4 linked regions of the Lepisosteus oculatus genome follow. The protein of the gene in region 3 purifies or fractionates together with the protein of the main gene of each other region. This does not show direct contact. Links are inferred from orthologs where the notes say so. Each region holds a gene or a part of one and is shown on either strand. Other genes may lie near its edges.

Region 1 (7,915 bases), on a different chromosome or scaffold from region 3:
CTGCCCAGGACGCCCTGCTTCACGGACTGGTCAGTAAGGTGGTCCCAGCAGAGAAGCTAGACGAGGAAACGCTGGCCATCGCCCGCAAAGTCTGTGCCGCCAGCAGGCCGGTCGTCGCTCTGGGGAAGCAGACTTTCTACAGACAGATGGCCCAGGATCGCAGTGCTGCCTATGCTACTGCTTCTAGGGTTATGGTGGACAACCTGGCTTTGAGAGATGGGCAGGAGGGCATTAAGGCTTTTATTGAGAAGCGCCGGCCTGAGTGGACACACAGCAGAGACCGGGCCCACGAGTGACATCCCACACCCATTCACTGCTCTGTGGGTCTTCTTGCTACTGCTGCATAAAGGCTAAGCCGTTTTTTTTTTGTTTATGCCAAATATTCTAAAGCACAGAGCAGAAAACAAAATCCTACAATGAAGGCAAATTGCAAAAAAAAAGAAGGAATTCTTTCGATAATCAGTCTTGTTTCTTTTTGCAGGTCATTTTTTTTTCTGTTGGCCAGACTTGATGTGTACAGAATGAACAAAAATAAAATATTAAATCAGATGCTGCCCTGGTGGTGGGGCAATTCATGCTACTGCCTTTCAGCTTTTTGGGTCTGAGGCTCATTTCCAATCTGGTGTGCAGTCTCTGTGGAGTTTGCATTTTCATGAGTGTTCTTACCTCCCAGAGCCGCACTGGCTCAGTTACTTGGTGCTGCTATATTGGCCCTGCAATTGCCATCTCATCCAGTGCCAAGCCAATCCTGCCTTCTGCCCTGTGTTTGCTAGGTTAGGATCTGGCTTGTTTTGACTCTCTAGGATGAAACAACAGTGGACGATGAAAGAATGTGTGGAAATCCTCCAGCAGGCACATGTAGAGTACTTTTTATTAAAAGAGTAGTGCACTTTTATCCAAAATACAACACTAACAATTCCTCCGAAATTGAATTGGTCAAGGAACGTCAGTAAAGAGGTGTTGGAAGATTAGACGAAGCTGCTTCAGTACTGACGTACTGATTTTTTTAAAGTGAAAATTCTTACCTAATGTTGCCTGTATTCATCTAAGGCTTTGGTTAGGATACTACTATCAGTGGGGAGGAGAGCAGAGTGACGAAGCCAGTTCATAGATGGAGATTATTAGGAGGCCATGATTGGGTAAAAGGCCAGTGGGAAATATGGCTAGGACCTTACTCTTTTCGAGAAACACCCTGGGATTTTTAATGACCACAGAGAGTCAGGACCTTGGCTTTATGTCTCATCTGAAGAACAGTGCCTTTTAACAGTATAGTACCCCCGTCACTATACAGGGGCAGGGTGAGAAACACCTCTGGTCCCAGTAACTTCTCTTCCAGCAGCACCCTTGACTTTCCCAGGAGGTCTCCCATCCAGGTACTGACCAGCCTCATACCTGCTTAACGTCAGTAGGATGCCAGTTGTGAGTTGCACTGCTATAAAAACAAAGTGGCAGTGCGATACTTATTTTAAAAACAACATCTGAGTAGTTGTTTTCAATGAGATTAGGGTGAGACAAATCCTAAAGACAGATAAATGACCTTAACTACAAGTCACAACTAACAGAAACTGTAATCATTTTTACCACTGAAGGTGCATTCTTATAAATAGTTCTGGAACTGCTAATTTGTGTGTTACTTGTACAGTTGTGGGTGTGGGTGTACAATTAGCAGTAGTCCTTTATTGCTTATTGCCAGGGTGAGTAGTGGTTCTCTGCCTTAGAACTGGAGTACCCCTGTGTGGTCTGCTTTTCATTCCTACTAAGCTCTTAATCACTGAGGCTGATTGATCCCTGTAATTGAGCTTCTTGCTTCAACAGACGTTTGGAAGCTATTTCTGTACTTTAGTCATATGTTTCAAAATTAATATTCTGCTGCAGGTACAGTTTTGAGAAGAAACGCAACAAGCAGAATTCAATCCGTTCCATCCTCAACTTGCTTATGAAGTGACTGCTGCCTTATTTCTGCCTAATTCAGTCTTAATAGGTGGCCAATTCATGATGGATAAACACAAGCCGGAATGACTTGATCAAGATTATATGCCAGCTGTTCTGTATTAGCTTCATTACTTGCATTCCGCACACCTCAATTATGGTAGTTATTAACCTCATGTGACTTTTTAAAAGCTTAAAGTAAAGTCTGGATGAAACATGGATCAATTAGTCCATTGCCTAAAAGCTCAGCTGGAGTAAAACCTGTAGGCACAGGAGTAGACCAAGACCGGAGCTGTGAAGAGCCGCTTTTTCACAGAGGGGAGTGCCTGTACTAAGAGTCAGATGTACATTTAGGTATAAAATGGTGCAGTATGTGAATAATTTCAGGACCGTTTTTGGAAACTTGTTTTCATTTTCAGTTTTAATGTGCATTAGTTATTTTCTCATGTTGGAGAAATGTGTGTGAATGGCCTCGTCATTTTTCCAATCATTTGTTATTGTAATGTTCGAACTGCAGTGAACACCATTAATACATTGTTGAAAGCTGAACTAAAGCCTGATTTTGGTCACCTCTTGGTCTAGATGTGACAGCGGGGTTTAGGATGCTTGTTATTGAAACAAAGTAAAAGGTAGAACAAGATATGACCACATGGTGGAGCTGTGGCTTAGGTCAGTGGAGATTTTGCAGTTTATATCAGATGAGAAAAATTAATAAACAGTATTTGTAAATCGAAGTTAAAAGCATAAGAAATGTTACTGATGAAGTGATGCTTAATTCTTGCCTAGCATTTTTGCTTATTAGTAGATAATTCATCTGAAAATTTCACCAAGCTGAGTACTGAAAGAAGCAAGTATCTGTTTCAACAACGTGGCTGGGTAGTGTGTTCCAGATTGTCACAGTCTTTTGTGTAAAAAAGTACCTCCTGTTCCCAGTTTTAATTGCGCGATCATGTAGTTTCCATGTGTCCTCTGGTTCATGTTTCACAGTTGGTTCTGCCAAATTGTATTGGGCTGACATTGTCAGTGCCTTGGGATGGTTAATAAAGTCACATCTCATTGTAGTGTTCTCTGTTCAAGTCTAAAAAGGATCACTTCTTTTAGTCTGTTAATGTAGGGCATTTGTTTGAGCCCAGAAATTTATCTGGTTGCTGTTTTCTGGACTGATTCCAGAATGAACTTTTTTGTAATTTGGTGACCAAAATGGTACATAAAATTCATATTACAGTAAGAATCCAGGTTATTTGGGTTCGTACTAGTGCTTTGTGAAATGTATACTTGGCACTTGTGTGGATTAAATGTCACCTGCCAGTTGGGCAGGACTGTCCAATCTTTGATTTTGTCTATAGGTCTTTCAGAATTCCTTTGCAGTTTTTACAGTGTTTGCTAGTCCTTCTATATGGGGTCATCTAGTCAACACAAGTATGCAGTTTTAATGATAATGATGTGAAAACAAAAGTTGTTTATCTTCCATTCTGTGTTTTAACTTGGAAGTTAATTTATCCAGTTGATCTGTTAAATTTAATTTGCTGTTAGGGTAAAAGGGATTTTTTTTTTTCAAATTAAATGTTGTCACATGATGTAGTTAAAAACATTTGTATAGAGAAGCAACACCTAAAAGTGAGGGAAAATAATCTTTAGGATAGAAAATTTGTTTCATATCAAATTCAGTAGGATATGTTTATTCTTCCATTGTAGTTAATGGTGAGAGGAAACAAAAAAAATCAGTAGTGTCTAAAATAGTGACTGTGTACTATACAAAACATCAAAGCTCCATCTTATTTATCAGGTACGAGACTTAAATTTATTTCAATTACTGTACTAACACCTGACCTGCGCAACATTAGGGTTGCTGTTGTCAAAAAGGTAAATAGGGATGATGACCTGTTGAGTATTCTGCTACGTGTATTTCGAAGTGAAAAGATTTTTCACAATTGTTTATTCTTGTTCTGAGTTGAGAGGATGAAAACGGGCCTCAGTGACGAGCTTCTGGCTGAGGTGATAACTTTGCTTTTAAATGTTTTGACATATTCAGTCCTCTTTCTAATGAATACACGTTTGTATCATGCGCTGATATGTAACATCCATAATTTTGTAATATAGTTTTTATCATTTGCTTTTTCCTACCCACACCTGAACTTTGTTTTCGTTTGTAATATCTCTTTGGTCCCAGTCAGAACCCGAGACTGGAAATCTGCTTCCAATTTCAGAACCCATTTCCAGTTCTGCCAGCAACGTGTGTAGAAACCAGACCAAAGTTTTATGCGCTGCAGATTACGAAATCGTCAGTCTTATCCCCACAAACCTGTGGGCTGCACTGTTCCTTCCAGCTTTATTACTTTTAAACTAATTTGTACTTAACATTTAAAGACCAATGTGCGGTGGATTAAATGCATGTGTAAATAAAGGAAAAGTCCTACATGCCCACAACTTTATTTATACTATTTAAACTCATTACCACGAGATAGCAACCGAGAAAACCCATAATACAACCGTCTAGTACATTAAGTCACTAAAACTACAACAAGATTTGATCTTTTTCATTAACCTCCTGTAGATATTTACTCTATCATTCATCTGTGGCTTCCTAGAGGAAACCTCGCATTCCTTTATCATGATGTTGTACAGACACACATATTTCTTCATATATCACATGTTCACGAAAAACCTGCTTCTTCTGTGTATAAGGATGTAAGGCAGAACTACGAAAAGATATGTCCGGTTCTAATCTCTGTATTACAGGATCAAAACTGGTTAGTACGGAAAATAACATCCTTATTACGCATACCCTTGACGTGACGTTTGGATATTGTTTCACGTACACTGCGCCTCTTTTTTTATTTTGCCTCTTTATACTGCATGTATCCTGCATTCTGAAATACTGTAATACGGCTTAAAACATTATTTTTAAAAGGCATTGAAAAGTATAATGTATTACTATTCAAAGCATTTCCCCGACACTTCTTCCAGATTGAATGTTAACACGAATATACACGTCTAATGTGGTTCTAAATATCAGAGATCGCAATAATTATATCTCTCCGATGCTCTAGTGTTCTTAAAAAGCTGTTTTGCCAGCTTCCTTCTGCCGTGTCAGATGGTAATCAAGAGCGAGTGTCACATGATCGGAATGCAGGTGCGACATAGTAACAATTCTTCTTCCAACATTCTTCTCAGGACTGAGGCAGGCTGAACAGGACTGGGGACGTGCAGAGGCGCTTGTTCTGACTGGTCCCCATAAATCAAGTCAGAACCTGTTCGACCACTGCTGAAGAAAAAATTAGCTCGGTCAGCGCTACAATACATACTGTACAAGACAGCGAGCTATACACCTGTTACGGCACTTTGTTTAAGCGATTTTTAAAGACATTTCGGCGAGCGTGAATAACTCAAGCTACAAGACATTACCAAAAGGGGATTTGTTCCTGTAATGGTCAACAGAGTGCACTGCCCCTCAGGCTAGCCATGTGCAGCTCTGGAGCTACCTCAGGAGGAGATACGGCGATGTGAGGATGCCCCCGGGCTGCAATGGTCGAGGCACCTGTGGCTTTAAGGATCAAGCGCTGCAATGTTTGCAAGAGGAAGAGCCAATGTAGGGCCGTGCGCTTGCGCCGTGGAGTAGAAATGAGAGGCTTTGGTTTCTCTGGAGTTAGTTACTGAAACAGTTTTGTACTGTAAAGGTGGGGCGATGGGTCTCCACACCACAACCCAGTAGGATGTTGATTTCAAGGAAACAGATCTGTAGTATCGGCAATAGCTAACGAGCTATTAAATTATTCTCCTAAAAAACTCCCGACTGTCTTGAAGTGTGAACCACCCAGTTTCCACACAAGAAAAGGTGAGTTACCTATTTTGCTCAACGATATTCTTTAACTGTGCAGCACATTAAGAGCACATCATTGAGTTTTAAAATATCCCAGTGTCATTGGTTTTTTGTTACAGTGTTAACACCACCTTAAAAACAGTATGAATTGCTTATAACCAATTTGGAATTCTTGGTATATGTTCATACCGTTATATAAAATACAGCTATCATATTTATTTATTCGTTTATGTTTATAATGTAAATCTGTTTAAAGTTTAATTCCTGTTGAAAGTAAAATACGTCATACAAATGCGTTCACATATTTGAATGATCCTGTAGATAAAAATGTTTTTTTATTATTATAATTATTGTGTTTAGAGGTGGTTGACCTACATACCTTACTCTGTTGTTTTTTAGTTGTCAAACTAGTCTAGCAACTTTACGGGTCTTTTTCATGGTGATGTCAGAGCTTTTGCTTTACAGTCATCCCAACGCCCAATGTTCGCAAACAGCATCTGTTTTTTTTTTTAAAAAACTCCTTAGAATCCACAATTAGAGTAACTATGTACAGCTAGTCCCATGACAAACCTTTTGGAGATGGGTGGCGTTTTGTGTTCCTCTGAGAGGTGGCTTGGCAGGTGGCTGTAAAAGAATAGTCTCCTTACGCAAACCCAGATCCCCGCGGGGAGAGCATATACAAGCTGTTTGAACTGTACCGTCTGCACTTCCCGGCTAAATTATCTTGAGTGTTTGTACTACATGTGGAAATACGGTCTAATTCCAACATCGCAGAACCCAGACGGGGTTTCTATCTGGTGCGCTCTGTTGTAAGCGTTGTCTGATGCGGATTCATTAACCATTTTACATCACCTCCTCAGTTTCAAGGTAAAGGGAAAAACTCTTAACCCTAGAGGTTTGTCCTAGCAACGACACCGTGAGGGAACCCGTATTAGCAACCGCAGAAATCATTAACTACTTAATTTACTAAATATTTATGGGAATACTCTGCCGAGTGAGACGTTTGTTGTGTAAACACAGTTCTTGAAGCGTTGGGAGCGAAATGACACATTTTGTTTTTAAAGTGAAAAGAATGTCAAACTCGAGAGCGTAGGTCGAGCTAGGTCTGTTGCGATCCCACACCTATAATGTACTGGGAGGTGGAAGCAGTTTCCTGCTTCAAATGCTCGTTTTAAAGATGCAATTGTAGTGTCTTACATTTTCAATCAATCTACCACCCTGAAAGCATTGTATTCACAGTAATAACAAGCTTATGTATCTGTAATACTTGAGCACTTCTTCCTGTTGGCTGAGGCACGGAAAGGAGGAGTAAAGTTTCTTCCTCCAGGTCAATTAGCCTAAAGCTTCCGAATGTGTCTTTTCACAGTATTTTCCCATTCATTTTGATTTTTCTTAAAAGGGGCCCGTAAAGCCCACAATCTTATTGCTTTTTGGTCTAAATCGTTTGCTTTTTCAACAGGAAGTATAAGGATATATACTGTATCTGTAGTAGTTCAGGTGGGGAGCTGCGTCAGCGTGCGTAGGCTGTAAAGGAACATGTAATAGGTTTATTCCATGCTGAAAAAAAAAGAAGAAAGAAAACACGACGTTTCGGCCGTGGAGCCTTCTTGAAGAAGGCTCCACAGCCGAAACGTCGTGTTGATTTGACGTCGTGTTTAATTTAACCGGGGATGGCCGGGAGTGGAGCAATTGCGCAATGTACTTCGTCTTATTTAAGGGCACAACCGCAGTCTCCACACCTGGCACACCTGGTATTGGCACCTGACCCTCCCAGAGTCCTAACTGCTTGCTCACTGCCACTGCTTATAAATAAAATTAATGACATCCTGAACCTCATTACCTCTAATGTGAGGTCAGAAACATTTGATATGCTGTTGATAACTGTCTCTGCTTGTGGGTAGGTAGCATAAAAATGATTTCGTTTTGATTCTATGGTTTTCGCTTGACATAAGATTTCCATAGCTGTTGAAAACAGGTTTCTGTCAGATTGTGCCTGCTGCTGTGCTGTGTGTACAGAGCAGGAGTTTATTCTGCGAGAAGCTTCCTGATTTAGTTCTTAGAAGAAGAAGAAGAAGGAGTATAAATAAAACAAGATTAAGTCATATGTGTGTATTGTTTCTGTTTCAGTGTGGGCTGTATGGGAAGACATACTGAGACAATGGGGCT
Region 2 (6,834 bases), about 4.2 Mb from region 3:
AAGTTAAAGATAAACAACAATCAATTCAGCACCCAAAAGGCATTCTGTAGCTGCGAATTGATTCTCCATTGTTTTCACTGAACCCCTACAGGTCCTGCTTTAAAACATATTACTATGAGCATTATAATGAGGCTATTTTCTGGATAAGGACAGGCAGCAATTAGAATTAAGTTGTGTTTTGGAAAAATAACATACCATTTTTAGGCTAGCAAAACAAAACTGCTTAAAAGATAAACTCATGATAGGTCCAGTGGCTATTTTAACTAAATTTTTGCATGCTTATACACAAGCTGAATCATGTCATGCAAGTTTCACAGAGGTGGTGATAGAGACTGGTTTTCCAAAATGCACAAGACCACTTCTTTACTGTAGCCTCCAACTATATGCTGAAAGTCAGTACACACAGAATTGTACATTCCTACTGTAAAAATGTTGAGACAATTAAACCAGGAATGGCCAACTGTGGAACTCAAAATAGCAACACCCAGTAGTGTTTAACAGATCTGCAAATTACTTAATTAAATAAATCACCTGCTTAAGTGGCCAGCACAATTATTCCAAGCATTTAGAAACAGCTGATATAAGGATGACCCATAAGACCTGCTGGACAGTTGTATATCAAGGTTGACAACCTTGATATTAACTGAGCATTTAACTTATATGGGCTTCATTTTATTTTTACCATTTGTAATGTTCGTATTTAAAGGAACTCTTGTGACATGTTTTTATCTATTGAAAAGATGCGATTCCTCTATAACATCTAATAGCAAATAGAAAAGTATAACTAATGCTCATGATTATAATCACAGTGCCTTAGCAAAATATAAAGCATCCACAAATGTGTGCAGCATCATTCCTGTGTACTTCATAAAGGTCCAATTATCTTTAGATTAATACCCAATACAACATTTTTGCATCATATTTCTGAATGTATACACAGCTAGCTTGGCTTCTTTTACATAAAAAGCTTAGGCTTAATGTGTACAATCTATAGGCGTGTGACAGGATGTTGGTCATACATATGGCATAATGTAATCACTTTGGTCTTCTATTTCAACAAATTAATCTGTTATAACATCAAATCTCTCACTGGATATTTTGCCTTTATCCTTACAGATGGAGGTCATTTATTTCAAGATAATCTCTTCTGCTTCAACGCCTCAGTCAACACAATCAAAAATGTCTTGAGTCAAAAGCTATACGAGCTCCCATTTTAGTTTACAAGTTCTGTGCATTTTGTTATTTTTGTATGAGCTGACATTTACAAAACGGAATAATTATAAGTGTGGTTTTGCTCAAAGGTTATTAAACCCATAAATACCACAACAGCAGAACAACAAGAAACCTCTTATCATTGAGCTCAATTAGTCACTCTATAATATGTAAAGGGGGACAACCACAATTACATTTCAAGTGTAGCACAAAATCATACAGGAACAAGTTATGGAAATGGCATAAACAAATAGAAAGACTAATGACTGCTTCAATAAGATAACACATTAATCTTTGTTATATGCATTTCAAATGACTGTACCACATAAGCTCATTAAAATCAAGCCTTGATAGGTTTTCGTTCTAGAGTGGTATTTAGATAAGACTTGAAAGCAGGATGTCTAAAATGACACACCATTTATTTTAATCGTTTAAACGACATTCCACGTTGTATAAATAGCATGACTTCATTTTGCCTTTGAATACAAAACATACGGCACCTCATTTACTGCTACCAATAGGCAAGACGGACAGAAAGTCGAATTTAGCTTGCTAAACCAATTATTCCTACACCACGGCCTGAACTTTGAACCACGAGTGTTTGGTTTACGCAGATCGCTACATTTTCCTTGCCTGTTACACCCTTTTGCTTCATAGCGTTGCACAACCTCAACTTCAAGCTCAAAAGCAATATGTTACGCGTTCAGTTTTCAGACGGTGGCAGGTAATTTGACAAATATGGCACTGAGTTTTCGTCCAGCCCTAGACAATTACAAATCACAGCGGAAGGTGGTAATCAAAAGATGACCACGTACGCATATAATAAATAAAAAACACTAAAGGAAATGAATACATACGAAGGCTACATAGGTAATGAAGGAGCTATGTGCTGCATGTGCGCAGTATGTACCAGGCTTACCAATCGTGCTCGGTAGTCATTTTAGGGAAAAACAGAAATATACACCTTCAACGCTAAGTTGTTGCACCCTAGCAGGAAAAAAAAAAACACACAAAACAGAAATTGGAGACAAGATGTGACAGTCGTCTCTAAACAGCAGTAGCTGATACTCTGTTATCGGTTTGCTGTGGTTTATTTCACTCCAACAGCTGATTTGCAAATTCGCAACTGTAAGAAAAACAGCCATTTGGTATTGCATCGCCCAGAATCGTTAACTTATATGAATACATCAATCACAACACAGGAAAGTCCCAGCAGTGCACACTGCACCGTGTGCTGGATCCAATCTGACCAGCAGGCCTCAAGCAACCGGGCCTTAAGAAAAAAAAATGCTCTGCTTGTTTAAATCTCCGCACAAAGACAGCACAACTACAGACTGTTACTTTTTCCATCTAAATGATGCGAACACAAACCAGTTTATTCTCCAAAGTGAGGACTCACGGACATAGACCCGCTGCGCTGTTTTTCTTTTTACACCACACAATTTTCCTCTTTTCTCGCCTAAAAGAGCACACTGACAGGCCTGCAAGACGAGAGAGAGAGAGAGAGGGGAAAAAACTTCGCTGTTTGCATGAGATAGTAAATATTACTCTGCAACAAACCTTGCAAACACGACCCGTCTTCCTTGGTCTCCGAGTGTTTTGGAATCGCAGAAGCAAGTGAGGAGAATGGCAGGGGTTGATACCGCCCGGTTTTCCTTAATTTACTGCCCCTCCGTGATTATACTTTTAGTTTATTTCCTAGTTCTCCCTGCAGCTGGATGTAACTGTGCGAATTCTCAGTGCAGTGCTGTTTCTATTTCCGCTGTGATACCGAAAAGGCCGCTCTCTGCTGCCATCGCCCGCCCGCCAGTGTCATAGCAACAACACTGCGCAGCCACCGTGGGGTCTGCGCCGCCAGTCTCTAGTCGAAATGTTTCCTCATTCCTCGAGTACTACGAATGCCAGTATGACCCAGTCCAGCAAACCTTTATTGTTTGCAGGCAGTTGAGGATTTCGATATTTTATTGAACTGTTTAATAGGAAATTTCGAAAAAGAGCATTTATGTACAGTAAATGTATTGGTCATTCTGGGTGAATTTCACATTCATAAATCAAAACGGTCTAATAATACTCCCCTTTTTAGTACTTTTGAGGTGGAGTTGAAACACTAAATTCGATAAAAAAGGCTGAAGCAAGAAAACATTTGATATATGTAAAAAATACCATTTGATCACATAATTTACTTTACCTCCGGCAGTTCATTGTTTTTTTTTTCTGTTTGTGTTTTTTTCTCTTGTACCTGTTTCTGATCCTCTGGTTGTATTTGTAAATTCTTCATACGTTTAATACATTTGTTTAAATTTTTTTTGCATTTTTGTTTTTCATAGGAAACTTAAGATACGTCACTTCCCAAGGCTTTTGTACTTTATTCCGTACAGCAAGACCAGACAGAACGGGATTGGGGTGGAAATGTATTTTTAGAGAACAAGCACAACAAAACCAATGATCAACGATAGTTTTTTTTTTTTACCCTATCGGCGTATTCCCAAACAAGAGTTAATCGAACCATGTTACATACAGTATACAGTATGTAAAGAGACATGACAGAACTATATTGTATGAGAAGCAAATGAGGCCCTACAGTCAAGTAATTAGCATACAACCAGCTAGAAATGAGAAATATCACAGGCCAAAGAAACTTTGTGTAGTTAAATAAACCACCATGATAAGGTGGCTGACAAGAGAGGGAAAATTACTTTAGGCCAATGGGACATTTTTAACGGATTCTGTATTCCCATGTGAATTTTTAACTAGGTGATGATTTCAGTTTCAGAGAAGTATGGGGACAGCCACATATACCTTGTGTACATTAAGCCAACAGAGTGGATCGGTAGAGCTGTAAAGACCAGTAGCAAAACATGAAGAGTAGCTACAAATGGTGTTATTCACAGGAACAAGGTACAATTAGAAGAGCAGTGAGATATAAAACCCCACCCCCCTTTAATCACAAAGTCACAAAGTCACAAACTGTGTGGGACAGCACAGATGCTATCAGGTGCCCTGGCCTTCAGGAATGTGGCATCTAGTCAGACAACTCCAACATTTCACACCTCTCAGAAGCCCGAGAAACAGAGGGCCTGTCTCCCAATAATGCTCAATATGTTTACAGTTTATGTAAATATTTTCTGATATGTCATTTGTTGTTTAATGTCTGTAATATGTCTGTAGATTTTATTTTATTTTTATTTTGTTTCACAGTAATTGTATTATGTGCTTTGGCAACACTGATTGTACCCATCGGTCATGCTAATAAAGCACCTTGAAGTGAACTGAATTGAATCGAATAGTGGTGGAGCCCTGATATGTCTTCTTTGGGCCACGTGAAAGCTAGTTTGTGTGTCAGAAAGGGGAAGGCCAGTGAAAACCTGAAGCTGGTGGCCTGTGGAACCATTTATCTTCTGCAAAGTACATCAGCTTTCTCTAGGCTGCTGCTGCCTTGGTTCTAATACCCATACAATGCAGAGATGGAGAAGAATAAGCCAGGCAGATCACTGGATCTGATAGCATTTGACCATGTCAGTGAGCCTCTATTGATTTACAGTATCTGGGAAAAAAATATTTTAAATCTTGTGGTTGGCCAGCAATAAATTTAAATTCTTCTGCCTTGAAATATTTTTTTTCACATTAGCAGTTAAGGTGTATATAATGTAAGTATATAATGTGTAATTTATACAATCTTAATTACCAGAGTAAAGATTCCAAATAGAACTAACACTAGAGTTACGACTTAACCTTGGATAGGTGCTTTGGCTGTGTCTACTTCTAGGGTTTTAGGTAGGGTTAAAGCTGTGGTAAGGGTTTAGCTTATGGTCATGACTGAGGTTCCCCAGAAAGCTAAAACTAGACTAAGGGTTAAGGAAAAAGATAGATTTGGCATTAGGTTTTCAGAAAGAATCACTTAATTTCCTTGAGAAAATTGCCCAGTTGTAATTTCTGGGGCTCTGAGGGTGAGTGTTAGCTCTGAGCAGGTTGACTCTACAGTGGGCTCTACAGTACTCCTTCTCCCCTGCATACCAGCTTCTGGGTTAGCTCAGAGATTCACTGTTGCCTCATCTAGACTCAGCTTGGTTCATATCAGGGCTTTCATTGTGGGTTTGTGGGATTTTTTGGGGCTATAGTTAGAGTTAGGTTTAAATGTAGAGTTAGGCCTTGGACTAGCACTAATATTGGGACTTAATTGTCCCAAAAATCACCACTGACCACTATTTTGTTCAACTACAATGCCGTGTCTACACACAAGATGGCGCTCGAACTCTGAATTTATCTTATTGAAAAGGGAGCATAGAAGCAGTAAAGGAACTGGGCCTATCTTTAATGTTTAATTCTTTTTTTTTATAATGTGTGCGTTTAACGTATGGTATTTGAGTTTTATATGATGTGTGATCTGAGTAAAGTAACCTAACAGTTTTATACACTGTTTGAAGACATTTTCAGTATATTTGGAATCCATTATAATTCCAAATATCCAATAATATTTGGGCGATAATTGTAATCCAACAGAATCATTACAATTGAATTTATTATGAGTCATAGTTTGGAATGATCGGTCAGGAGACCACCTGTTTCTAAAAATTGAGAACAACATGATGAATTCAGCAAGTGATCCATTTAGCTAAGAGATCACAGGACTGAAGGGAACTCATAGTTTGTGTCAAATAAATTAGAGATTCCGCAATATATAAAAACACCTTTTTAATTAATCTCAGAGTTTCAACTCTTTAGATATTGGTAGTTTAATGCTGACATATAAAATTTGCTGAATTTGGGCCTCCACAGGTTCAGGGTACTAGAGCCCTGCTATATGTGAACCAGGTACCCCAGAGGTGCACAAGTTTTGAAAGACCAAAAAGCTTCTGGATTTGTTTCTGCCTAAACTCTTAATGGCCTCGATGAACTCATTATTTCCCTCATCGGACAATGTGAAGCCGTTCCTTGTTCTTAAGAAACTGGAGACGGAGACCTGTAAAATCTGTTGAATTTTGAGGACAGGAGATGGCCATCCCTGAAATATACAGTAATTTCTGTGGGTTCAGCGACTAAGTTAACATTTTCCCAGTCTTTGAATTTTTAAATGAGAAAGTATTCATGTAATAGACTGAACAGTAACGATGCATTACGATTTTGAAATTACAATTTTATCAATTTCACTAGACAACATTTTTATATCATGCTCAACATATTTGTAAACGTAATATTTTTTTGGAAAACAAAAACGTATTTCTTTTTCTCCCTCTACCATACAGTGCACATCCATGGACACATTGAAACAACAAATACACATATTTCTTAGCTTTTAGTCTAGAAATTCATGTCTAGATCATCTTCCCCGAACCGCCTGTGCAGTTTCTCTCCCCCCACTGCCTCAGCGCGGACCTCCTGACTCGCCGTCAGCGCCACGGTACAGCGCATCGCCCTGAACTGTGTTTACCATGTCAGGGATTAATTAACTGAAACTGAACCTAGAGTCGGCAAGACAGGAAAAAACAACAGCGTGACGATTACGTCCAACCCGATTAGTAACCCAGAGGTGGACAGGGCACGGATCTGAAAGAAACGGTGGGCGGAGAGGCACATTGTTGCTCCGCCATTCCCAAGCGAATTCGTAGGTATGAAGACGCGTGG
Region 3 (7,705 bases):
GTCATCCTGGTTCCTATCTATCTCTTCCACAATAAATTGTGACCACCAGGCTCTTTCCTTACAGTTACCAGTTACAAGAAAAACAAATTAAAAAGCACTTTGCATGACCCTTGGGGTGTAGGAAAATTTCTACAGAAAATTAAATTCCATCTTTTTTGTGGATGCTCATCAAATTGTATCCTTAGTCATCTCACTTTAGGGAAAAGAGCTGCAACAAATTTCCTTGGAAGAGCTTTTAAATGCTTCCAATGAACTATGATCCCGAAGTTGGTTAAAGCATGTTCTTTCCATGCTTGAGTGAAACCACATGTATTTCCAGCTCTTCATGAACTCTTGTTTTGCCCCGCGGTTCTGAATACACATTTTCCTGCCTTTCTTGTTTGTCACAAATCGTACTTTGTGAAATTCTGTAGAACTGCCTGTTGTTGTTTTGACAAACAAAAGTGTTGACACATTTTGCCAGCAAAAAGGGAGTGTTAGGAAACTGCCTGTTCAGCAGATTTTTTCTGCTTTACTCTTTGGATATTTGGCAATGAGTTCCCTGAAAAGTGTTTTTCCATGAGTGTGGTTATATTCTTTCCAGAAAAATGAATGTGCTTGACAAAGAAATTCTTAGAAACAACATGAGGCAATACATGTTATAAACCTCTTTAACGCTCACTACCTTAAAACCAGAGTAAAGCAAAAATCACAAAGATGACTGTTAATTATGAGAAGGTATTACTCAAACTATGGGGAAATCCAAGTAATAAATATTCAACAGTCCAGGCATTAAGTTATTCTAAATCCCAACAGACAGAGGAAACTACAATTCCAGACACTGGTCTCCAGCTAGCGTCTGTTAGATTTTCATCTATGTTTATTTATGTCTTCGGTATGAGTGCTGGATGTTATACAGCAGCAAAATGAAATAGGAAGAACACAAATTTGAAAAAACTAGCCCAGGTCTGAAACAGGTAACACAAGCAGAGGATTCAGTTCAAGGGCAGGAGGGTGATGTTATGTTGCTGTTTAATATTTTACAACCTTATCAGACTCAGCCTACTTGGTTTTTGACACTTTTGTCTAAAGGTCTTGGCCACCTCACTTCACCCAGTTACAGGTTTTTAGGACTGCATCATGAAAACACAGAGAGCAATCCTTCCTCCCTGTAATCACAGTCTAGAAGGTGATTGCTGTGTCTAGATGGCTAGATGTGTGCAATGCATTTCTGCGAAAATGCAAACAGTCTATTAGAAACTGGAACAAGTGCCAGCCTCACATACTGTAGGAAACTGTTTACATTGGTTTATGAAGAAGAGATGCAACAGCCTCTTGCTCACTGAGCACTGCTACATAGGAAAGCCTTTTGGCTCTAAAATAAGCCTAGTTTGTTGTTTGCTCTTGGAAAGATATTTTAGAACTTGAAAAAGTTACAAATTCAGCCCATCCAGCCCATTTGGCACTAGTTAATTGATTCAGGCTCATTCAGCCATTTCTTGAAAGAAACGGGGTATTGGCTTCAACAGCATGGCTGAGTGGCTTGTTCCACACTCCTGCAACACTTTGTGTAAAGAAGTGCATCCTGTTCTCTTGTTATAAACGCACTTCCACATAGTGTCCGCGGAAGCCCCCTTAATTCCAATTTTAAAACTTAGTTAAATTCTAGGGGCAGTCTCCACAGCACTCTATTATGTAGTTTTATAACAAGAAATAAAGTAAACAATTGACTTAATGGTGTGACTATGTAGTCTAACTTGCAAATTATCTCATACCATTCAACGTGTTGAATATGGTATTGATATCCCGCCCCCGTTTACCTGGGAAATAGACGACTCTCCTTTACAGGCCTCCACTCCCCATCCCCAACGCCGGGAGCATTTTACCTGGAACCAGCGCCCTGTCTGCGCTTGTAGAAAGAGCGCCGTGCAGCTTGCCAGAGCAGTTTGCGGGGGACGCGGGTGTGGAGAGAAGTTGCGTCAGTGCGAAAAGGGCCCGGAGACAGGAATGTCTTTTTCTTACAGTCTTTCAAAAACCGTGCACACGCGCGCGCACACACACACACAAAAGTTTCTGTTACACAATTGGAGGTGTGCGCTTTTTTTTCTTTCCCATGACGTACATATGATACGGAACACGATATTTGACTTATTATTATTCTCAAGAGCGCGGCAGGAATTGAGCAAAAGAAGAGCATCAGAAAGAAAGGTTTTAAACAACAGACGGCCGCTCGGCCCATATTGACCATTCGGTAGCTAGCGGCTAATTCGAGCGTCTCACCCTTGAATGTTTTTGCACAATACCAGGCCATCGACTTCCAGCCTAGCTGGGTAACCTGTTCCACGCTCACACAACCCCCTTGGGCGAAGACTTGCCTCATGTTCCCAGCTTTAAATGGTCTCATCCCTGAGATTTCCATCTGTGTCCTTTGGGTTGTGTTTGACTGTCGGCTCTGAAAAAAATCCTCTGGGTGATCTTTATCGGTGCCTTTGAGGATTTTGAATACTTGCGTCAGGTTCCCCCGTAATCTCTGTTCAAGGCTAAAGAGGGTTCTGGTCTTTCATCCTGTGGTGAGCGTACTGGGGCGCTATGGCTGCCGTCGCATCATCCAGGTGGGGCTGCAGATTGGTAGTGGTGGAGGGGAATCCCCATTACCTGTAAGGCGCTTTTGGGTAGAGTGTCCAGAAAAGCGCAAGGAAATATTATTATAATTATCATCCTGTCAGTTGTAATTGTAGTTTTGCAGAGACTTTTTGGTTCAATCACTAAAGTTGCAGTAACAGTTATTTTTTGTTTTGCACGTTATTTTGACTGAATATGTTATTCTCTTTAAAAATAAACCTAAAAAGAATAATTTACATGATTTTTTGAAGACTCCGAAATTGCGTATTCAAAATCTCTGCTCTGTAGTGATGTGCTGCCACCTAGCGGTCACATTAAGAAATTTGATCCCTCGATCGAGCAATTAAAAACGGGATTAAACGGAATCATGTTTATTGGTAATATCTAGTGATGCATCGTTCTTCCTTTTCTCTAGACTGGGGTTCCTTTCGAAACACGTGTTGGTCACAACGAATCAGTACAACAACGCTTTGCTCTTTCGCTACACCTCTTCCATTTCTTTTTTAAAATGGATTTTTAAATTATTGCAGATCACTTCTACAATGTATATATAATCGTAATTTGATCTAGAGATGGAGCAATTTAAAACAAGACCCGCCCCAAACACACCAACATCGAGTAGACTTTCCTTGATAACTACATATAAAACAACATTGTGTTCATAAAGCTCTTTTTAGCCCCAAGAACTTTAAATACATGAACGAATTCCCCTCGTCCTTCACCGCAGGCGAAGAGAAGAAACTACTTCACCAGGTGAACTGAGAGGGGTGTTCAGTAATTCCAGGTTGTGTAGGTGGAAGTTATGCATCTTTAACCCTCCTCCTCCTATAAGCAGTGCTGTGGGATATTTAATAACCAAAAAAACAGGGTCATAGAACAGCATACTGTCAACACATATTTTTTCACCTTAGAAATATCGCAAGACTACGCCCTATGCTATCATTAACTGTGGCTGAAAAGCTGATCAACATATTTGTATTCTCTCTAATTGACTACTGCAATGCTCTACTCCCTGGGGTATCTAAATCTACTCTGAACAAGCTGCAGTATGTCCAAAATTCAGCAGCCAGAATCCTGACCAGGTCCAGTGCAAGTGTTCACATTACTCCTATCCTGGAGTCCTTGCACTGGCTTCCGGTCAAATTTCGCATAGACTTTAAAATCCTCATGCTCACCTATAAGGCTTTACATGGCTTGGCACCTCAATACCTGTCTGAACTTTTATCGCCCTACTCCCCACCTCGCAGCCTCCACTCTTCAAATTCTGCCCTCCTTACTGTCCCCCAAGCCCGTCTACATTGTATGGGCGACAGGGCCTTCTCCTGCTATGCCCCCAAGCTCTGGAACTCTTTGCACAAGGATATTAGAGAGTCACCTTCTCTAAACTCCTTCAAATCCAGACTCAAAACCTTCTTCTTCAGAAAAGCCTTTACTTAACTGGTTCCATTCTTCACTCCTCTGCTCTTCTTAATACCACCTTCCACGGTCTCCTCCATTGTTATTGTTGTATTGCTGTAATTATAATTGTGTCCTATCTTGTGAAATCTTCTTATTTATTGTTGTAGTCTTCTTATTTATTGTTATTGTCATCCTGTAAAGCGTTTTGAGAAGCCACCTTTAAAGGCGCTATATAAAATAAAGTTTATTATTATTATAGTCGCATCTTAACGATAGCAACTTCTACAGCATATAGCGCCACCTACTGATCTACCAACGCTACATGCACCAGCTACCTGCTTGTCTGTTGGTTGTGTCTGGTCACAGTATTAAGGGCAGGAAAGAAACAACATTTCGGCTGAGACAAGATGACGAGATCAGGTTAGAAAGTGATAGGCAGCTTCTGCCAGAAAATAAACTACCAGAGTCCATTCAAATACAATCTAAAATTATTTATTCGTAAAACTAAACTTTTATTTCATGGAATGAGAAATTAATTAGACCTAATTTACTTAAATATACAGAATACGCTTTCTCCACTGCATGATAATGCTACTATAAAAATCTCGTCACTTGAAACGCACAGAGCCTTGGGAGTTGCTGTCCAATTTGCTGGAGGGAAAGAACTACTATTCCCACAATGCTCTGCGCACACACAGGAGGGACTCACGCGTGCGCAGCTTGTTGTGTCCCTCTCAAGCAGTAAATGAGGAGCTGGGAGAGTCTCTTTTTGTATAAGAATTAAATATTAATACACAAAGTCGAAATTCTTCTTTACACTTGCCAGTCTGAGACATGGAGTCACTCATGGCATAACCTGTTCTCGCGGAGTAGCGAGTGGGCGAACCGAAGCCGAAAACAGCTCGGAGTGACAGAACGGGGAGGCTGTTTGTGCAGTGGGGTCTCAGAGGAGGAGGAGGAGGAGGAGGAAGAAGCAGAAAAAAAATATCGGAGGAAAAAAATTAAACATCTGCCCCCACCACCCCCTATCCGAGGAGGCCAGGGCCGCGGCTGCCCTCACCCTGACCACCCTACCGCCAGGATGGCTCACCTCCGGGACCTGCGGGACCTGCGGAACCAGGTGAGCTCGGCTGGGGCGAGGGGGGCTCCGCTCCTCGCCGGGACCCTCGGCGGGAGCCGTGCAGGTAGAAGGCAGAAAGGCGTGTGTGCATCTGCTACCTGCCATTCCTCAGCGCACTCATTGCTCCTGCCGCATTCCTAAGGCGGATAAGGCTGCAGGTATTAACGCTCGCTCCGCGTCCCGTCATCCGCAGCCCTCTAGGTGATGTAGATTATTCCCCAGCTGTGCCTCCTGCTATCTTCGGCTGCCCACAGAGCACGCCAGGGGAAAGCCGTCTTGGACAGGTGTCCTGAAGCTAGCACGTCGCTTGTTCTCGGTTTGTAAGTTTTAGTTGTCGCATTTTTTAAATTGTCCAACGTGACTCTTTCTGACCCCCCCGTTATGCTTTCTGATAAGGAGCATCACCAGTTCTCAGCACTGACAGGGCAAGAGATTAGTTTCAGCTGTTGTGCTGAAATGCAGGATTCCCGATCAGGCAGTGTCCATCTATATTGGTCTTGTATCTAAACTACATCTAAAAAAACCCAGGTGGCGGTAGAGATGACTGACATAATTACCTATGTTATTTGTCTCGCTATGTGGTACATATGCAAGAGGCTGGGGTATGTTTGGTACACATACAGTGTATGACCGTACTGTAGTAAGTTATGGTTTATAGGCTTAGTGGCTGATTTTAAGTCTAAGCAACTTTCCGTAATATGTTCTGCTCTTTTCATGTTCTTGTATTTATTATTAGTCTCTTGACTGATTGCCACAGAGAAAAAAATGTCTGAAAATATACTGAAACAACAGAAAGTATTGTCACAGACTTTTCTGAAGTGTACTACTGCACTGCTAATGTGGTTCAGTATAATGTCACCCCTTTTAACTACTGCAGATAATCACACAGGGCTCCCAACTGATAAAAAAAGAGAAAAAACTTCAATACATACAGTACATGAGCTGCACTTCTAAATGAGAAAACATTTGCAATGGCTGCCCTAAAAATACATTTATAAAGCAGATTTATACTTGCTAAAATCAGCGGATTCAGTGAATGTAGATGCACCAGCCCGCACATGTAAAATATGACCTGACATGACCCTAGAGCATGCACCAGAGAAGAGGTTCACAGTATTATACAAGAACAAGTAATAGGTTTATTCATCATGCTGAAAGGTGAAGAAAGAAAACAACGTTTCGGCCGTGGAGTCTTCTTCGGGTGTAGACACCTGAAGAAGGCTCCGCGGCTGAAACGTTGTGTTTTCTTTCTTCTCTTTTCAGCACGGAATAAACCTATTACTTGTTCCTTTGCAACCTACGCATGCTGACGCAGCTGCCCACCTGAACTATCACTGTATTAGATTTGAGATTCACCCAACAAGGACACTGGCAGCCACAGTCAGATATTAATAAGAAATGGGTTTGAACATACTGGTTTGGATGTGCGGGAAATAAAGGTAGTGTATTGCACCACAGTGCTTGTCCGTTGGTTTTTTAAGCTTTCAGCTGTGCATTTCTCCTGCTGAGTAAGCAGCCCTAGGCCTGTCCCTGAAGCAGAGGGAGCATGGCTGGACTGTGCTCTTTATGGGATGCCATTACATCACAGGGCACAACTCGTGCACACTGACAGCTTCCACACAGCAGTCAACCTCGCTGGTATGTTTCTGGGAGGAAACCGGGGCACACAACGAAAACCCACAAAGATGCCAGGGGTAAACGTGCAAACTCCACACATAAAGCCTCCCCCTACCAGAATTGAACCCAGGTGAACAAGACCCCTGAGACAGCCGGGCCACTGCGCCTCTCAGTTCTCCATTTCCTCTGCTAATGCTCTGGAATCAAAATACATGAATCGGATGCTAATAAAACTCTGCTGATCTGCCTGTGGCTTTGACAAGCAAGCGTATATCTAAATGCTGGAAACTTCTCTCTCGTGAAATCTAAAGTGAAGAACAGGGAAAAAAATTCTCCAGTAATTGATACAGGTTGCCTGCAGGGATTGTCAATTTTTTGTCCAGTGTACCCCAGAGAGCAGTGCTAGAAGCACCGTAATTGAAAAGAAATTAATTTAAAGTCAAGCATTTTGAGTTCTTTTTGCTTTCTCAAGCAGACGTGTGTCTGAAAAGAAGTGCCCTGTGTTTTAAAAGTGAAGTAGCAGCACTTTTCCCTAGTCTCGATTAAAAAAGGGGTAAAGGTCACCAATGTCATCTTTTCTCGAGTTTTGGAGCTAGCGAACCAGCTGTGTGTTTTCTGTAATTTCAGTATTTAAAAAACATGTAATTTTACATTTGCCATTTGTATTATTGTTCCACTCAGTAATGGACATCTGCTTCCCCACTTTTAAGCACTGCTTTTATGGCTTATTCAGGGTCAGCATCATTTTAAAGTTTGTTGTGTTTTTTTATGAATTTCTTTTTTGAAGTGTCAATATTTTTTATTGAAGAGGCTCCGAAGAGCCTGTAAATGAAGCCCTCTGGTTGTGCGGTTCTGATTAGATAGGGCTCATAGAAACAAAGGCCCTGGTTACAGCCGAAAGGGCAGCTGTCCAGACTCTGCAGTGCTGGACTGGTTGAAGTTGGGGATGGAGGGGAAGCTATGACATCA
Region 4 (7,173 bases), on a different chromosome or scaffold from region 3:
AGGGTAGGCTCGTTGTGACCCTGAATTGGAAGAATTGGATATAAAATGGATAGATGTCTGGATATACATATACAAAGAAGATTGAAAGATACAAGATCAGTCTAAACAATCGCTTGCGAGCTCAGAAAAGGAAGCTGTGGAAAGTGAGACCAGCTTGGAAACACAAAATCTGGGGCACTTTTAAGTGAAAGTTTGTGGCTGCCTGAAACAAACTACCCAACAACACTGTGGAAGATGATTCACTGGGAGTCTTTAAGAAAAGGCTATTGAAATTGTGAAACAATTACTTTAAGAATGCAAGAAAGGTTGTAAAGGAGAGGCAGCTATTCATTCCAATAGCGCATTAGGTGCTAGTAGTTAATTGATCTCAGCCAACCACTTCTTCACAGAGGTTTAGGGTATCAGCTTTATCACATTATTGGGATAACTCGTTCCAGGCTCCCACAGCCCTAGGTGTAAATGAAATCCCTCCAGTTCTCAGTCTTCAATGCACTTTCCTGTACTTAAGCCACTTGTTAGAAACCAAATGAGCAAGTTGAACTGAATTGTCATTCCTCTTTTTGGTAAAGTTTCAGAAGACTGCCGACGTGAACTAACAACTGGTACTGAAAATGTTTTAAAGATACACAGCAATGGAAAAGGTCTTTTCCTCAGCAGGGAAGGTGTGAAGTATCAGATATAAACAATTTTAAGAGCTACTAATATCGTCTTCTTTGTAGTTAAATTTAAACAAATAAGCACATAATAAGCATTAGTGAACCACTGGGATCAAACAGCCAAATCACTAAAATGATTTGTAGATGTTATTATTTGTTTTCCACAGTTTTTTCCCAGTGTGTCAAAGTCAAAGTTTATGGCTTATGGCTGTGTTTTTCAAAAAACAACATTACTTAAGTGTTTCCTGTTTGCTTTCCTTTTTAATCATTTTGCAGTCTGCACAACAGACTGACCAAGATCTGCACCTCTGTAAATCAGCTAGTGACCTACACAAAGACACCCCATGAAGTGTTTCAGTACCATTGAATCCAGACTTATACAAGTACCATTGTGGACTACAGCGGCACAAATGAAGAGCTGTTTATTTTACGGATATTTTATTAGGCTCCAGGAAGGTTTTTCTGTTTTATTTATAAATAACAGAAGCTAATGAAAGTTCAATGAATTGCAGCTTATGACACAGCACAAACTTTGAGTGTACATAGAAAAACAGTGATCTTGCTATTATAAGTAGTAGTTTTAATATATAAAACAGTAGAAACATTTGCATAAGTCGCAACAGAGTGCTAGAATCAGCTGTAGTATTAGGAGTGTAAGTATAATATTAGTGGCGGTAGCATTTAAAGGAATATTTTATTCACTTTAGGACAGTGCCACATGTATCTGACACCAAAATAAACTGATATATCACCTTCTAAACTACTTGGTGATCATCCCTACAGCACATTTTAATTTGTTAACTTCAGCAGGTGTGACAGAGTTGTCCTTGTCTGGGAAAGGTCCTCTGTCTGGTACTATGTTATTGGCTACCACTGTGAGTAATAGGGTGGTCTGTCCGTACTAAGTACTGCTACATTACAGGAACATAAAATATGTTGACAGTCACTGAAAACGCATGAGTACTATCCTGTATATTTAAAGTAGTATAGCTAAAAAAACACTTTCACAGACATCACAATGTTTGTAGCTGGGGTGTTTTTTGTAAATACGACTTATTTGTGTATACCCTGACCTGATCTGTCCTGAGTATGTGATATTTTTGGAATAACTGAAAGGCGGGGATAACCTTATCAGTATCAGTCATTGTGCCATGTGTGGAAATATTAAGTTCTAATGCATATGCAATGGTTGCTTGTACACACTCAGTCATGACAATAACAGAGAGTGACTGGAGCTGTACTCAGGCTATAAAACGTCCTGCAAAACCGCTTGGATTCAGAGCACTACAGGGGCAGAGGTGAGGGATACACCTTGTGTGTCTTCTTGGGTGTTCTCCGGTAATTGCCTTTTTTGTAACAAATTAAAACTTGTTTCAAACCTTCACTGGGCTATGTTTTCACTTCTGGCATCTTCTAAATTGGTCCTTAGCAAAGTCAACAAATTTTGGTTATTTAGAGCCATACATACATTTCTGTACACTGCAGAATATCCATTCGTAAGGTAATACAAAACTCCTCTCCTGAGATTCAGTGCGAATCAATGACCGCAGGTCAGAGAAACTCTCAATCTTCTCAGCATTGCTGTGTAACCTATATAGAGACACTCTCTGAATTGGAAGCTGTGAAAACAATAAAGGTGTTTCCAAGTCAGAACCTCAGTAATGTAACCTGGCTCAGACTTCCATTCCGTTTCTTGTTTTATGTGCAAGACTGCTATCCTATCATAAAAGCTAGTATTATTTATTTCTGACCTGCTCAGGAAAACAGCAACAGGAGTTGAAAATTCCATTTGTTAAGACATGAAGAAAGCCCTGATACATCTATCAATAGTCCCATACCCTCAGAATGTTTTCATGTGCTAAATTATTTAATACTTTAACACTTATTAAAGTGTTTTTAGAAATGTTAACAGCTGGTTTGTGAATAATTTATCTGGTGTCATTAATAACACCTAAAATGTAACGGAAACATTTTCAGAAACGTGATTTGGTAATGTGAGAAAGAATCCCTGTCAACGTTCCAGTTATTTTTTATATTAAATATCTTAAATGGCTATTTCTGTGAGTTAATCAGGACAAATTTAAAGGTAAAAGGCTGAACAGAAGATCTTCTCCAACATCACTACAATTTCTTCTGTAATTGTTCTTCTCATTGTAATTTCTGACAATCAGAAATAGTCAAAACATGCATTTTAAAATCTACCTGATCATTTCTAAAGAAAACGTTTGCTCCTGTGTTTTTTTTCGGGGGGGGGGAGCTGTATAAACAAACTTTTCTGCAAGTGACCTAAACTTTTGTCTGACAACAGCAAGTGTGCCTTCAGGCAAAGCAGGGGCTGAAACATTAAATCATTGACAGTATCATCCCTCCATGTCGGCAGAAGGGAACAGTGAGGGCAGAAGTGTGTCTGTAGTCTGCCAAGAAAAGGAAACTCTTTCTGTATTTTTCTGTCCTCACTGGGAAATTCCTATCTCGGTTCACACTGGAAGTTTGTGGTTTTAGTGTCTATAGTTTTTTGATTCAGTGCCGTCCAGTTCTATCTCCTACAAATAACTTCAATAATTGTGGTTTTGAAATTTGCTAAAGAAGACATAATATGTTGTTGTTTTCCTGCTTCCAACAGTCTTCCCTCTCTGACCTTTGACACGCTCCATGGATTACCCTGTATCCTTTAAAACATTGGCAGATAAGTTGAAATCAGGACTATTCAACACAGTAAATTTGTTGCAAAACAATTAAAGGGTTTGAGGGGATCTGTTTCTGTGCATTCTGCTCTTAAAGCAGATAATTTGATTATATTACTAGCCACCTTACAGATGTTTTTGCTTTGAAAATTGCTCCAGTTTTTTCCAAAGCAAAATAAAAATACAAGTACAGACAATTCTTCAACCAACACTGCATTTAGGCGATATTTTTGAAACACCTTTCAGACATCCGAACTCTTCTATAGTCACAGGAAACCTCGTCAGATCTGTGCCTTTAAATATTTTTACAGTGACTTCCAGAAAATGGGGAGAAGTGATTTGATCTGGTTTAAAAGACCCCCTGCTGTGCTGTTGTATTAATTTTTAAATTAGAAAACAGCTTCATTTCCAAAATGCTTTGCACTTCACTCGCTTGTCTCCCGTGTCTGTCTTCTTTGATTATCCTTCATAAGAATACGCCGTTATGCTGTGTGGACATGCCAAATGTGTTTTAACATCTGCCATCATGCACTCGGAGCATTTCTGGAGTTATTTTTAAGAGTTTTACTCACTGCCACGCTCACTCGTAAAGGTTGCTGTCTGGCCACTCTCTGCTTCCTCGCTTCCCCCAGTTCTTCTTCTGTGGGACACTCTGTCTCTCTTGTGCGCTGTCTCTGCACTCAGCCACTGAGGCTCCAGACTGAGCACTGCTCTCTCTCCTCTCTCCCAAACACTCCCCCCACCCCCCACACAGCAGCACGGCACTGAAGAGGGGGGGTGCTCGGAGAGAACCCACTCTCCTCTGGACAGTGCCTGGGTACAGGAGCAAGTCTTTTTGAGGTAAGGGAGGGGGATACCAGTATTGATATTAAACACTTAGATTGAATGGTTTAATTATGTCACCAATGGGCTTAAGGGCTGAGGGGGGATTCATTTCTGTAGATTTAGGACAGAGGGGGGATTCCGTTAATTATTGTTGAACAACCATGTTATTGACTTCCTGATAACTATTGTTACATTTCTCCAGTAGAAAGAAAAAAGAAAGAAATATCCTCATTCTCTTCCTCAATTTGAACATGGTAGAAGGAAGATTTTGTTGCTGTATTGTTATGAGACAATGATATTTACAATAGATTCCAAAGTTTGTATGTATATATATTATTGTCATTTTCAGTTTAAGTGTTTTTGTCTCAAATGAATTGTTGTGATAGACTTGGAATTGATCCTGTAATGACTGCAATATCTATAGTATACCTAGTAAGTTGTGCATTTTACCTAAGTTTGTATCAACCCAGAGGCAAAAGATCTACTTTAAGTTGAGAGAAGGGGCAACTTCATGTTCCACACCAGGGAAAACATTTTCCTGTAATGTGTATTTCTTAATCCATTTAATTTGCATATAATAAATACATTTAGATCACCTTCTATCACAATTTCAATGTTAAAGGGGAACTGCTTTGTACATCATATTTCGGGGTTAGAAAAAATCAGTATTGATGAGTGCATTTCAAGCTGCAGTAAAAGTAAAATGTAAGCAGTAACTTGTAAAACCTCCAATTTACATCACAAAATTTGCCAGCAGCTACATCACCCCGCAACTAACAAATGTCAGCCCACTGAAGCTTAGCAGGTGTGAACCTGGCCAGTACCTGGATGGGAGACCAAGGTTGCAGTTGGAAGTGGTGTTAGTAGTGTTAGTGGAGCCAGTAGGGGGTGCTTACCCTGGGGTGTGGGTCCTAATGCCCCAGTTATAGTGATGAGGACACTATACTAGAAAAAGGCACCATGTTTTGGATGAGACGTAAAACGGAGGTCCTGACTCTCTGTGGTCATTAAAAATCCCAGACTTTTTCTTAAAAAGAGTAAGGGTGTACACTGGTATCCTGGCCAAATTTGTATCACGTCACAATTCTTGGGAACTCGAATGCAAGTTTGCAACAACGTGGTGACTTACAGTACTTTCAAAGAGTTCACAATTTTGTGCTTAATTTAACATTTGTAAAAAATTTTCTATAACGTAAGTGAATTTATTCTGTTACCAAGATTTAATAACCGGTCTGAGAAATTGGGACAGCAGTTCCCTTTTAATTTAGCTGTTCTCAGAATTGTAATGTTTCTAAAGCATATTCACAAGAGGCAAATTACCAATGATGGATAATAAGACAGCTATGGCACAAAATGTCAGTTGATGACTATAAACTGATGTGCAGTTTGTTGATTCTGGGTGATCAGAGCACACAGATTAACACAACAATAACACATAGCACGGGCATGAAGTTGCACAATGAAAAATTGTTGAATTATCAAGAAACACTTTATTTCTTCTCTACACTCATTTTATATCTTGAAGGCATTTAATTAGTACTGATGCACAATGAACATGGAACGGTTTTACTTCAGTATCTCATTGGAAACAAACATAAAGTTATTTACATTTTAAAAAGTGAGTACATAAGTTGTTTGAATAGTTCTTGGAGGGCAAAATATTGGAATCAAGCTATGTGATTTTATAAAAAAACAGGTGCTCAGTTTGCAATTTGGATCAAAATGAATTTAAGAATCTGTGTAAATGACTATTGTAAAAGGCAAGATTGTGATTAATGCTGCAACAGTGTAAGAGTCAACCATTTCCCACCTGAGACCTGAAGACCACGTGGTTGGTTTCAGTGTAACTGAAGGTGGCCTGACTGTGAGAGAAATGTTCCACTTCAACAATCAGTAGACTAGTCCAGAGAATCCAGAAAATTGGCTCTGTGAGGGACTGAATCACCTGTGAGGCAAAGGAATCACCGTACAGGCCCAGAACAATCTGACCCACCTGTTTGTTTTCAGACTGCAGTGGCTACAGTGTGAGGAATTCCAAAAACAATAGCCTGCTCATCTGCATAATAACTGGATCACCATGTTCTTGATGATCTGCATGCTAGCTGGTGACATCTAAGCTGGTTGTAGAATGGGAGAGATTAATTTGATTTTTCTCTTGATGGTCCTGACAGGAGACAACCTGGGTAAAGTTGTCATGGTTAGTATTATGGTAATTGTTGCACTGTTCTAGCCAGGCTGTGTAGTGGTAGAACTGTGATTATCTAGGGAGACATCTCCTTTAACTCAAGAACAGCTCTGAAGCAGATTGAGGGTTCTCTTACAGCTCAGAGAGCAGTTTCACTGACAAAGGCCATGAGCCAACAGCTTCTCCATTCCTGCAAGACACTCCAGAAGGGTCCATTTCCAGCAGGACAATGCGAGACCATGCAGTACTAGGATTACAATGACATGACTTCCAGAAAACAATGTTGCGGACTTGCAGAGGTCTTGCAGTAACCCGCTATTTCTCCTCATCTGAGTCCAATAGAACATCTGAGGGACCAAGTTGGCATTGCCATGAACAACAGACAACCTTCCCCAGCTGGCTGCATGCTGCACAGGAAAAGTGCTGAAACTTCCCACAGTATTAAAAACTTTTCATTGATTCATCTCGTGGTACTGTAGATCAACACAAGCATTTTACCAAGACTTTCTTTTAAGCTTTTTTTCCCCTTTGTTCTAATTTTCCCTTTCCCTTTCTCTAAAAACAAAACAAAATTAATGAAGTCCTTCAGAGCTCATCTCAACCAAAGACCAAGAGAAGTGGGGTTCACACATAAATGAACTTGCAGTACAGCAGTGACAGCTTTCGCACAAAGGATTTTCAAACAACATTTGTCATTCAAAACAGTTCAACAATATATTAAAAGAAGCTTTTGAGGTTTTACAGAAAAAAATATTATCAAAAATGCTTGATCGGATTACTTTATCAACTACTTCATTAAAAAGAATTCATAATAGAAATTCCT

What was found.
Region 1: the proteins of stk25a (region 3) and proline and serine-rich protein 2 purify together in Homo sapiens (affinity purification with mass spectrometry; 3 studies listed by BioGRID and IntAct, counting the BioPlex papers as one, with this or other methods). This does not show direct contact. The link is inferred for Lepisosteus oculatus from reciprocal best matches to the Homo sapiens genes STK25 and PROSER2.
Region 2: the proteins of stk25a (region 3) and cab39 purify together in Homo sapiens (co-immunoprecipitation; 3 studies listed by BioGRID and IntAct, counting the BioPlex papers as one, with this or other methods). This does not show direct contact. The link is inferred for Lepisosteus oculatus from reciprocal best matches to the Homo sapiens genes STK25 and CAB39.
Region 4: the proteins of stk25a (region 3) and sike1 purify together in Homo sapiens (affinity purification with mass spectrometry; 4 studies listed by BioGRID and IntAct, with this or other methods). This does not show direct contact. The link is inferred for Lepisosteus oculatus from reciprocal best matches to the Homo sapiens genes STK25 and SIKE1.

Annotation. Positions count from the first base shown.
Region 1 is NC_090702.1:41,896,233-41,904,147, reverse strand, and holds the start of proline and serine-rich protein 2, read left to right. Parts: upstream 1-4,904; 5' UTR 4,905-5,764; intron 5,765-6,508; exon of another isoform or gene 6,509-6,616; intron 6,617-7,876; 5' UTR 7,877-7,915. Other genes in the region: echdc3 (enoyl-CoA hydratase domain-containing protein 3, mitochondrial), read left to right, coding at 1-296.
Region 2 is NC_090708.1:8,180,975-8,187,808, reverse strand, and holds the start of cab39 (calcium-binding protein 39), read right to left. Parts: upstream 3,007-6,834; 5' UTR 2,773-3,006; intron 2,654-2,772; exon of another isoform or gene 2,584-2,653; intron 1-2,583. UniProt on the Homo sapiens protein: Component of a complex that binds and activates STK11/LKB1. In the complex, required to stabilize the interaction between CAB39/MO25 (CAB39/MO25alpha or CAB39L/MO25beta) and STK11/LKB1.
Region 3 is NC_090708.1:12,399,801-12,407,505, reverse strand, and holds the start of stk25a (serine/threonine-protein kinase 25a), read left to right. Parts: upstream 1-4,689; 5' UTR 4,690-5,080; coding exon 5,081-5,119; intron 5,120-7,705. UniProt on the Homo sapiens protein: Oxidant stress-activated serine/threonine kinase that may play a role in the response to environmental stress.
Region 4 is NC_090700.1:32,285,891-32,293,063, forward strand, and holds the start of sike1 (suppressor of IKBKE 1), read left to right. Parts: upstream 1-4,155; 5' UTR 4,156-4,180; intron 4,181-7,173.